3 linked regions of the Struthio camelus genome follow. The protein of the gene in region 1 interacts with the protein of each later gene in a pairwise test. Links are inferred from orthologs where the notes say so. Each region holds a gene or a part of one and is shown in the gene's direction. Other genes may lie near its edges.

Region 1 (3,745 bases):
GCCGGGCAGGAGCAGGGTGCTGGGCAGGAGCAGGGGGCCGTGCAGGAGCAGGGTGCTGGGCAGGAGCAGGGGGCCGTGCAGGAGCAGGGTGCTGTGCAGGAGCAGGGGGCCGTGCAGGAGCAGGGGGCCGTGCAGGAGCCGGGGGCCGTGCAGGAGCAGGGTGCTGTGCAGGAGCAGGGTGCTGTGCAGGAGCAGGGTGCTGGGCAGGAGCAGGGGGCCGTGCAGGAGCCGGGGGCCGGGCAGGAGCCGGGGGCCGTGCAGGAGCAGGGGGCCGTGCAGGAGCCGGGGGCCGGGCAGGAGCAGGGTGCTGGGCAGGAGCAGGGGGCCGTGCAGGAGCCGGGGGCCGTGCAGGAGCAGGGGGCCGGGCAGGAGCAGGGTGCTGGGCAGGAGCCGGGGGCCGTGCAGGAGCAGGGGGCCGTGCAGGAGCAGGGGGCCGTGCAGGAGCAGGGTGCTGGGCAGGAGCAGGGTGCTGGGCAGGAGCAGGGTGCTGTGCAGGAGCAGGGTGCCGGGCAGGAGCCGGGGGCCGTGCAGGAGCCGGGGGCCGTGCAGGAGCAGGGTGCTGTGCAGGAGCCGGGTGCTGGGCAGGAGCAGGGTGCTGTGCAGGAGCCGGGTGCTGTGCAGGAGCCGGGGGCCGTGCAGGAGCCGGGGGCCGGGCAGGAGCCGGGGGCCGGGCAGGAGCCGGGGGTGCAGCAAGGGGTGCCAGGGACCCCGCGCAGTAGCAGCGGCCGCGCTGGCGGCTGTGCAGCCCTGGCCCCCTGCCCGGCCTCTCTGGCTTTCCCCGTCCCTCCTTCGCCGTCCTCGCTGGCGTCCCGGCCTAACGAGAAGCAGATGTGCGCGGCGGCGGCGGCGGCGGCGGCCGGGGGGGGGGGGGGGGGGGGGGGCAGCCCAGGCCGGGGCAGAGGCGGGGGCGGCGCGGGCGGGGCGGGGAGGGGGCCGCGGCGGGCAGGAAGCGGGGGGCCCCGGGGACCCCGTCGGGCGGGCGGGCAGCGCCGGGGCGGCTCTGGCGGCGAGGGGCCGGCCGAGGCGCGGCCGAGGGGAGGGCAGAGCCCAGCCGGGAGGGACGGAGCCGCGACGGGACGCGCCATGCGCTCCTGAGCAGGGCTGCGCCCGCCGTGCCGTCCGCGCTGGCCAGCATGGCCCCCTGGCTCTGGCCGTGCCTCCTGGCCGCCCAGGCCCTGGCCGCCAACTTCCCCCCCAGGTACAGCCTCTACACCGGGGGGGCCGCCCCGCTGAGCCCCGTCCAGGCCACGGCCCCGCAGGGCCCCGCCGCGGCCCACGGCGGCGCCCGGGCCGCCAGCCGGCACAGGTAGGAGACGCGACCGCCACGCTGTGCCACGCTGCGCCGTGCCGCGCTGCATGGTGCCGTGCTGCGCCGTGCTGCATCGTGCCGTGCTGCATCGTGCCGTGCTGCGCCGCGCCCTGCGCCGTGCCGTGCTGCGCCGTGCTGCATCGTGCCGTGCCACATCGTGCCGTGCCGTGCTGCACCGTGCCATGCAGTGCCATGCTGCACCATGCCGTGCCGTGCTGCACCGTGCCATGCAGTGCCATGCTGCATCGTGCCGTGCCGTGCTGCACCGCGCCGTGCAGTGCTGTGCTGCAGCGTGCCGTGCCGTGCTGCACCGTGGCATGCCATCCTGCACCGTGCCGTGCCATGCAGCGCCACGCCATGCCACACTACGCCAGGGAGGCGAGCCCAGGCGTCCGGGCGGCGTCGCCTGCCCCAACACCGTGGGGTGCCCGGGACCAGCCGGACGCCGGCACGTGCTGCGTCCTGCTCAGGGCCCCGCCAGCAGGGCCAGGGTGCAGGACCCGTGCCTGGGGCCACCCGCGGGGTGCTGGGGGCCCTGGGGCCCGGGCGGCATGGCGTGGGGCTGAGCTGGGCCCGGCGGGGGCCCCGGTGCCGACACGGGGCTGCGAGCCGAGCTGCCACCCCGGCTGCCAAGCGTGGAGGGGCTGGGGCCGCAGGCGGTAGGGCGGGTGGGTGTCAGGGGGGTCCTGAGAGCGGGGGGCATGCAGGGGGGCTGGGGACGGGGTGCACTGGGGGCTGGGGAGGGGTGCACATGGGGCGTCAGGGACGGGGTGCACGAGGAGGAGCCCAGCCTCGAGGGTGCACCGGGTGGGAGATGGGGACGGGGTGCACATGGAGGGGGGTCGGGGACGGGGTGCACGTGGCGGGGTTTGGGGAACGGGGTGCACGAGGAGGAGCCCAGCCTCGAGGGTGCACTGGGCGGGGGGGGGTTGGGGACGGGGTGCACATTGTGGGGGGACGGGGGGGGGGTCTGGGCAGGAGGAGTTTTAAGGAAAGGTGTGTGCATGGAGGGGCTTGGAGTGGGGGGCGCCCCGAGGGCTGGGGCGGGGGGGTGGAGGGCTGCCCGGACCCCGCAGCCCGCCCCACGGCTGCCCCGCTCGCCGCGGGGCGCCGGGCCGGGGGGCCGGCGGGCGAGGGAGGGAGGGAGGGGGCGTCCGCCGCAGGAATTCCCGGAGGCCCCCGGGGAAGGAGCTGGAATCCGGCCGGGGGCCTGAGGGGGAACCAGCCGGGCTGACGGGAACGGGCCGGCGGGGGGGCGCCGGGACGCCCCGCTCCCCGGCCCCGGCCCCCTCGGCCGGGCTCGCAGCACAGGGTTTGGCCGAGGCCCCTGCGGTTGCAGCCGGGGCGGCAGTGGGGCAGGCCGTGGGGCGCGCAGCCCGGGCATCCCCCAGCACCCCACGGCCCCGCGCCCGGCTTCCCCTCGCAGCCACGCGGCGGGGTGGCCGTCCCCGGCGGGGCTCCCGGTCCGCCGTGCCCCTGCCGTACCCCCCCGCCGTGCCCCTGCTGTGCCCCCGCCGTGCCCCCACCGTGCACCCTGCTGTGCCCCCCGCCGTGCACCCTGCTGTGCCCCCGCCGTGCCCCCGCCGTGCACCCTGCTGTGCCCCCCCGCCGTGCCCCTGCCGTGCCCCTGCCGTTCCCCCGCCGTGCCCCCCCGCCATGCCCCCGCCGTGCCCCCGCCGTGCACCCTGCCATACCCCCACTGTGCCCCCGCTGTGCACCCTACTGTGCCCCCACCGTGCACCCTGCCACGCCCCCCCGCCGTACCCCCGCTGTGCCCCCGCCATGCACCCTGCCATGCCCCCCCGCCATGCCCCCGCCGTGCACCCTGTCATGCCCCCCTGCGGTGCACCCTGCTGTGCCCCCGCCGTGCCCCCCGCCGTGCCCCCCCGCCGTGCCCCCGCCGTACCCCTGCCGTGCCCCCCCGCTGTGCCCCCACCGTGCCCCCGCTGTGCCCCCGCCGTGCACCCTACCGTGCCCCAGCTGTGCCCCCCCGCCGTGCCCCCTGCATTGCCCCCGCCGTGCCCCCGCTGTGCGCCCCGCTGTGCTCCCCGCCGTGCCCCCCACTGTGCACCCACCGTGCCCCTTGCCGTGCCCCCGCTGTGCCCCCCACCGTGCACCCACTGTGCCCCTGCCATGCCCCCGCTGTGCACCCTACTGTGCCCCCGCCATGCCCCCTTGCCGTGCCCCCGCTGTGCCCCCCACCATGCCCCCGCTGTGCACCCACCATGCCCCTTGCCGTGCCCGCGCTGTGTGCCCCACCGTTCCCCCACCGTGCACCCCGCTGTGCACCTTACTGTGCCCCTGCCGTGCCCCCCACTGTGCCCCTGCTCTGCCCCCGCTGTGCTCCCACCGTGCCCCCGCCGTGCCCCCGCCGTGCCCCCGCCATGCCCAGGGTGATCAAAGGGCCCCGGCGCTGCGGGCGGCCGGGCAGAGCGG
Region 2 (3,745 bases), about 10 Mb from region 1:
ACTCCCATCCCCTGGTAGCTCCAGGCTTAGGAAAGCCCACTCTTCTCTTTTGGAGCAGTTGACGATTTAGATCAGTGCAACTACTGTAAGGAGAGAACCAAGCTTCCTTATTACGAACCTTTGCATATATTTACATGAAGAAAACATCATTAATGAGACTTTCAAATCATTCTCAGCTATTGAAATCACCTAAACCGCCAGTATTAATGAGACATGCAAATAAAGTCATAACAACTCGGACAAATTCTGAATGAACTCACCATCAGGGGTGAATATAAAAATTCAAATCATTCCGTCTGAACAACAATGCAATCTTTCTCATGTGCCTAGAATGAGCTCTCATCAAAGCTGCCTGTTTGCATCTGAACAGATCCAGGCTGTTTCCATCAGGCAGGGCCTGAACAACCTTGAATTTGCACCGCCAAAGTAATCACGGTAGGATGGTAACAAATGGGTATTGATCTCTTCCAAAGGGAGCTCTAGAAACGTCTGCCTGACACTACCTCAACGTTTTGTTCTTCAGGGATAAAACCGGGTGGGGATAAGGAATCTGAATTTCTGCAAGGTGAGCAAGACTTGTTGTTGTGCATCAAAAGCACATGCCCACCCAGGTAGTCCAGCAGGCCTTTTAGGAGGGCAGCCAGTGTCAGCCGTATGCAGCACAGCTGGAAGAGCCCCTCTTCTAGAGATATCTGGCATTTGCTGTCAAAATGAAGGCTCTTCCGTTTTCTTACCACCGCTTACAAGTTGACTTTTGCTTAGAAGCACAAGGGTTTATAGCCCTTCTCAATCCCACTAATACCCTCCGTGTAGATGCTGGATTTCTGTTACCCACGTTGGATTTGGTTTCAAATGTTGCGAACTTACTTTTTTTCAGTGAAACCCCTCCACTAGTGAACGACCCCATGCCAACCTGTTCCCTGGACCTTGGGCTAGCTAATTTATTTTTTCTTTTACCTTTTTTTTTTTTTTTTGGAGTGAGAGAGCGGCTCACTCCAAAAAATCCCAAAATCACTAGAGACCCTAACTCTGCCATATAAATGTTTTATTCAAGCCAACTCCTGCGCCCAAACTCGGCGACTGAAGCCACACGCGGCACGTGCTGCCGCGGCGCTTCATTGACGAAAAACACCTTAAAACAACCCGTCCCTGCCGTCATTCCCGCCCAGCACATGCAGCAAATCCAAACGAGGAACAACAAGGAGGCGTCTGGGCCTGGATCCCTGCCAAAGCCTAAAATTTTAGGCCTCACACAGCAAAAAGCCCCGCCCCCTCTCGGCCCCGCCCCCTCTGCCCCGCCCCCTCGGCCCTGCCTCTCCACCAGGCCTGGCCTGGCCCATGGCTCCGCCCCCTCACCCACCCCTCTGGCCTGAAGCCACGCCCCTTCCCCTGCCGCCGTTCCTATTGGCTCCCCCCTCGAGGCTCCTCCCCTTCTCCGGCCTCCGCCTATCTTTCTTAAAGGACTTAGGGAAGGGGGGGGGGGGTGGAATGATTGTTTCGCGGCCGCGGGCTGCGCCGGCACCTTTGGAAGAGCGCTCCTTCCGGTAAGGGCAGGCCGCCCCAAGCCGGCTTCTGAGCCTGTTCCGCCCTCACAGGAGAAGAGCGGGCGGGGATTGGTTCGGAGGGTGGTGGTTGGGAGGGGGGAATATCACGTGGGAGCCACGGCGGATTCGTAACATCCGGGGTAGGAGCCGCCAGTTTCCGGCTGTTGCCGTTCGGCCGGCGCCTCCTCCGAGCGGCGGGGCCCGGGGTCCTGGCGGCGGCCGGGCCGCGGCTGCCCCCGCCCCCGCCTCCTCGGCGCCCCTGGGGCTGGGCCCCTTTAGCCGGGCACCGAGGGGTTCCCCCCCGCCCCGGCCAACCGCCTCCGGGGCCCCCCTAACCGCCCCCAGGTTCGCCTCACCGCCGCCTGCAGCCCCCCCGGGCTCCCCTCAGGCACCGAGGGGCCCCCTGCGCCGCCATTTCCTGCGTCTCCCTCTGTCAGGCATCGAGAGGGCTCCTCTGAGCGCCTCAGCCCGTCCTCCGGCAGGTGCTGGGCACCCCCCCCCCCCCCCCCGGATCCCCTTGAGTCAGGGGCTTGTGCCGGAGCTGAGCTCTTCCCTCCCTGAAACGGGGGGTTGTGACACCCACCCCTCATCTCTAGCGCCCCCTCCTCACCTAGTTGCCCTGCTCTGACATTTCTCCTCCTTAGCTGCTCTCTCCCTTCTGCCTCGCCACCTCCCTCCTTTCCTTCCTCTTCTCCCATCTAATCTTTGCATCATCCCCCAGCTGTGATAGGGATAGGGGTGGCTGTCCCCAGCGCGGGAGCTGGGCTCACCCCTTGGGTTATGAGCCTGACTGTCTTTGGGATCTTACAGGGCTGTCTGCCAGTTACATACTGTCCCAGGATTGTCCCACATTCTCCATCCTGGCCCTGCTGGTGCTTCCTCTCCCAGCTAGCTTTAGGCAAAGGCCTCCCCAGGCCTGTTATCTTCACTAGGAAGCATGGAGTTTGCGGAGCTAATCAAGACCCCTCGAGTTGATAATGTCGTACTGCACCGCCCTTTCTACCCTGCCGTGGAGGGGACTCTGTGTTTGACTGGCCATCACCTCATTCTTTCTTCGCGGCGCCAAGATGACGCTGAGGAACTGTGGCTGCTGCACTCCAATATTGACTCTATTGAAAAAAGGTATGTGTCCTAATTCTCTCTGTCTTCCTGTACCCAATTGTTCATTTTATTATGGGATGAAAAGTGGTTGTCAGGACTGGTTCACACTGCAGCTTCCCAAAATCCAGGTCTAGAGAGGAGAGTAGCCTAGTCAACTAGAGCGTGAGGTGGAATATTGTCATGGACTAACTGATTCTCATTCAGTTTGGAAACTGTTATGTGACTGTTGCATCTTAAGATTTTTTTTCCTTCTGTCATGTCTTCTGTGTTTAAATTTCTTGTATCAATAGTATTTTTAGTTAATAGTACAATGTATTTCATCAGCAGCTCTTAAAACACTTTATAAAGGATGCATCATTATCACAGTTTGTCAGAGGTGGAAGCTGAAGTTCTCATTAAGTGATTTGCTGAGGGTCACACAGCAAAATTGGAGCAGACTTCTGGCTCTGCCATGAGATCTTCTCGGTCCCAGATCAGCCCTACTGCTAGATTGTAGGAGTAAGAGGTTGATACTGCTTATGAAAATCAATAACACTTTAGCAGCATGCACCTTGTCAGAGTGATGTGGCTAACGTGAGTTGTGACTGCTGCACTTGAGTGTCACACTATTCTTGCCCATCCCCTTGTATCACAGGGGCTTCAGCGATGAATCTTCCAAGCCTTTCCTGGGTTGCTGATGTCATCTCTGCTGACTGTATTCTGCTTGTTTATCTTAATCCTTTGCTCAGTTTGGTCATAACCGTTTTTGCTACAAAGTCAAACCCTGTTTTCCTTGCCCTTTAAAGTAGTTTGGAAGAATAGATTTCCTCCTTGGCAGTAAGACAGAAAAATCTAGCAGCAGTGGTTAAATTATCAGGCTTCCTCAGAATCTAAGAATAGTAAAAGTATCAGACACTGATTAAGTTTGTTCCTGTGCTGCAGTTTTCTCTTAGTGTTTCTGAAAAATCATGCCACTTAGCCAGAGGGAGGAGAGGAGCAGAATGGTGGGAGGCTCTGAAAATCTATTGCCATCCTACGCCGCTCAGTTATCAGGGCGGTTTGGTGTTGTCCTCTTCACTGCCTATACTAAACTAGCCACAGCTGTATTTTGAATATGATTA
Region 3 (3,745 bases), on another chromosome or scaffold:
GTCTATGTTATACCAACTCAGCATTTTTCCCATCAAAAAAAAACCCTTCTGTTGGATTTCATTCCCCTAACATTTGTAAACAACTCTGAACAAAACATATTCTGAGTCTGCTCAAGTTTTCACATCTGTAAGACAGTGAGCAAAGTTCAGACACACCTGTACATTCCTCATCTGAGGAGCACATAACTCAAAGGAGATCAGAGGAACTCCAGAACGTTATAACAACAGGCAATTCTAGATATTGTGCAGTTTTGCCTGGAAGGAGTCTGGATTAATCAGACAGTGCACAGTGCTGGTGGTCTTGTTCCCATATATTTCAAAGGCAGCATTACGAATCCAATAGACCTTTGTGAACATTTCTGCTAAGGTCAAAGATCCCTAGAAGTCATCCATAGACATCCAAGAAAAATATTAATTTTGCAAACTCAGTCAGGATTTCCACAGGCTCCCTCTTGCACATGGAGTCCTTTGTTGTATATAAGCTTTGCAATTTATTCCTAACTTACTCTATGATGATTTTCCTTTGCTAAATTATAAGCATTTGCACAGAAATAAGTCTTGCTCAACCGCCATAAAACACTAGACAGCCATTAACTTTTTTATTTTTTTCAGATGAGGTAAAGGATTATTAATTTTCTTTCATAAGTAGAAGCTAGAAACCTGTAAACTGGGAGGGACCTGACCACAGCTTTACAAGGAATCTGTGGCAGACTTGGGATTGGAGCTCGTCTCCACACAACTCCTAATGCCAAACACTGCCACTGATCCAGTCAGTATCCATGAACCCACAAGACAAAAATGTAATATTTAAGTAAGATCTTACTAAAAATCAAACACACTGTCAGGATAACATTAGCACTACTGTTTTTTGCACACGATGTTATGACAACTCACCCCGTTCAAACACCTTCTGAACGAAAAAGAGCTCAGAAGGCTCACAGAGGATCCTAAGGTACTTTCCAAAGACGAGGCTTCACAGTTACCACCTCCCACAATGTAGCCTCACTTAGTCCAGCAGAATTTTCACCTGTCAGAAAGCAAATTTTCTGTGGTTTTAAAAATGAATACATAATTAAAAAACTCTGCAAGATCGCAGCCCTCAAGATACTGTGTTTTCCAGTGTTCCTGCTTTCCCCGTGCTAGATGAAATTCTACAGGGATTTCAGAAACACCCAGCACCCTCTTTGTCCTCTCTTGCTTCCTTTTCTTGCCCCACTTGCTGTATTCACAGGACTCAAAACTCTTCAGCACATTCCATTTGCACTCAGTATAAATAAATAGAAGGGTAAAAACTTTGGGGAGCTTGGACCACAGCCAGCTTGCCTGGGTAACTGGATTTTTTGTGGAGCATGAAGGGTGTTTTTTAAAAGGAGGAAAGAAAAAGAGAACAGCTTAAGAATCTTGGCTCAGCCTGGGAATATTTCCTCCTAACTCTCTGGCTAAACCTCAGCACAAACGACTGGACTGAGGAGTCTATGTAAAGCCGAGGAGGGAGTCTGCAGCACTCTCCACAAGGACTACAACAGAGCTTGGAGAGTTTGAAACCATGCTTTTCGTTTGCATGCTGGCTTTTACTTTAGTCCTGCAGAAGCAAGGTCTTTTAGGTAAGTGACTCCAAGCTTGTAAAGCAGAAACTGCAGCGTATCTGATCTTCTGGTGAAAGAATTTGCGTGGAATTTGGCGGGGGGCGGGAGGGGAGTTAAGAACTGCTTATTTGATAGATTTGATCTGAAGATGACACAGGCATGTTCCAAAATTCTGTGCAAACAATGTTTTTTAACCGGGAAAAACTCCCATTTTCTGCTATTAAAGTCCATCCCGGAGGCATAGTGCTTCCCTAGAGATTTTCCACTACTCATGGGAGACACTATCACTTTATTTGCAGAAATTTAAAACCACATTCATATACTGCATCCAGTGCCCTGCATTCCCATAACACTGTTACTGGGAAGTTTAATAAGATGCACACTAATCCACTCAGAACTGAGAACAATGTTCAAGGTGAATAAAGAGAGGTCCTCCTATATTCAAACCCTTCTTTTTAGATTTGCTGGTAACAGCATTGTATATTTTTATCTTCTGCTTTTGGTTTACTTATTCCTGAGATTTCCAGGACCATAACTCTTTACTCAAATCCCTTGGCGACAAGCAGTATAAATACACAAAATCTGATAAGCTGGCATCTGAATTTTACTGCCGTTAACAAAGAATCTAGTGCTAGGTTAACCTCTGATCATATTGTTGTTGATGGTGTGACTGAAAGCTATTTTCAGTTTGGCTAGTTCAAGGGTTTATAGTCCCCATGTAATCACAAACCTGGTTTGCTGCGTGTTTGTATTGTGCATTTTCTACTAGCTGAGGCTGAGCATTATTTTCCCTCTGCTCTTACTTCTGCACAACACGTAATGTTTGCATGTCAGTGCAGGGTGGTAAGTTTCCATTACCACCAAAACATTTCCTGAAAACCACTAGTCCATTCTGTTGCCCAGGCTCCGGTCGCTCTTGCTTTCTCCCTCTCTGTCCCATGCAACTGGCTTTGTTAATACCTATCAGTGATGAACTGAAACAGCAATCCAAGCACAGGCACTGTATGTTTTCACTCTATAAATACTCATTATCCACCTGCAAATTTTGCAACGTACAAAGAACGCTGGAAGAACGTTTTTGTTTATTCCCCAGAAGTATGATTTTGTTTAAACGCAGATCATTAGTAAATTCCGGTGAAACCTAACCAAATAAAACATTATGTGAATAACAACTAAAGTAGGGACCCACCCAGTATTATGCCAGGTGGCAGCTACCTAGTTAAGAAAATATATTCACTGTTTCACTGGAGCATCCAAACACTCCCTGCCTCAATGAGCAGAGCGTTTCCTTGGAAGGTGAGACTCCATGGTCCATATCCTTTCTTTAAGTCAGGGAGAGGGAGGATCTGAACTTGTTTCTGTCCTAGCCAGCTGAGTATCCTGGCTGGTTGACATAGGCATCCCCCACTTGCTCTTTGCTACTTTTGAGGTGGGGAATCTAACTTTTGATTTTAATACAGATCCTCCCCACCCCCACTCCCCCAGTGACTCATTCACCGTCTCTTCCTGTTTTTCTATTTGGCAACAGTTCCTCTTGAATAAAAATATTTTGGGCTTGGCCAAAGAAGAATTATGTTTTCAGTCAGCCATTAATATGAACAATCTTATATCCATCGAGCTCAACCTTCAGACATCTCAGTAAGGGTGAGATGCTGGAACGGGAGCCATTTGGGACACAATCGCATCCTCCTGCTTAACCGGTTGCACTGCTTTATTGTTTGTTCTTGTTGCCGGGTTAGTTTGTGGGGTGCTGCTGCTGCTAAAACGTAGCGTAAAACATGGCCTGGGGTACTGGAGCATTCAAACCCTGCCCCATTTAAACAGCTTTCCATTCTTACCAAATGTTCCAGGCAAATTTTTCCCAAAGGTACAGCTTCGCAACAGCAGAGTTTGTGTTGGATGTTTTTGCACGGCACAGAGGTGAGCTGGAGTCCTGGCAATCAGGGGAACAACCTGGGCCCCTCTGACATGCTCCTCTTAGATGAGCAAACCAAACACAGTGGGGGGAGAGCAACAGGAGAGCTAAGGCATGTGTTGCTGCTCAATACAGTCTTTAGAATGTGATTTGTTTTTAAACAGCAGAAGCGTCATTTGGTTTCAATTATAAGTAAACCAATTGTAAGTTAATGTTTTTGCTTCATCCAGCTAACATATTATGC

Evidence for each region.
Region 2: the proteins of EMILIN1 (region 1) and MTMR9 interact in binary tests that used the Homo sapiens proteins (3 or more experiments, as listed by UniProt). The link is inferred for Struthio camelus from reciprocal best matches to the Homo sapiens genes EMILIN1 and MTMR9.
Region 3: the proteins of EMILIN1 (region 1) and PLAC9 interact in binary tests that used the Homo sapiens proteins (3 or more experiments, as listed by UniProt). The two-hybrid records come from large-scale screens. The link is inferred for Struthio camelus from reciprocal best matches to the Homo sapiens genes EMILIN1 and PLAC9.

The regions. Positions count from the first base shown.
Region 1 is NC_090944.1:900,929-904,673, reverse strand, and holds the start of EMILIN1 (EMILIN-1), read left to right. Parts: upstream 1-993; 5' UTR 994-1,133; coding exon 1,134-1,306; intron 1,307-3,745. UniProt on the Homo sapiens protein: Involved in elastic and collagen fibers formation. It is required for EFEMP2 deposition into the extracellular matrix, and collagen network assembly and cross-linking via protein-lysine 6-oxidase/LOX activity.
Region 2 is NC_090944.1:10,873,092-10,876,836, forward strand, and holds the start of MTMR9 (myotubularin-related protein 9), read left to right. Parts: upstream 1-1,451; 5' UTR 1,452-1,544; intron 1,545-1,847; exon of another isoform or gene 1,848-2,354; 5' UTR 2,355-2,481; coding exon 2,482-2,666; intron 2,667-3,745. UniProt on the Homo sapiens protein: Acts as an adapter for myotubularin-related phosphatases. Increases lipid phosphatase MTMR6 catalytic activity, specifically towards phosphatidylinositol 3,5-bisphosphate and MTMR6 binding affinity for phosphorylated phosphatidylinositols.
Region 3 is NC_090948.1:30,382,666-30,386,410, reverse strand, and holds the start of PLAC9 (placenta-specific protein 9), read left to right. Parts: upstream 1-1,138; 5' UTR 1,139-1,546; coding exon 1,547-1,604; intron 1,605-3,745.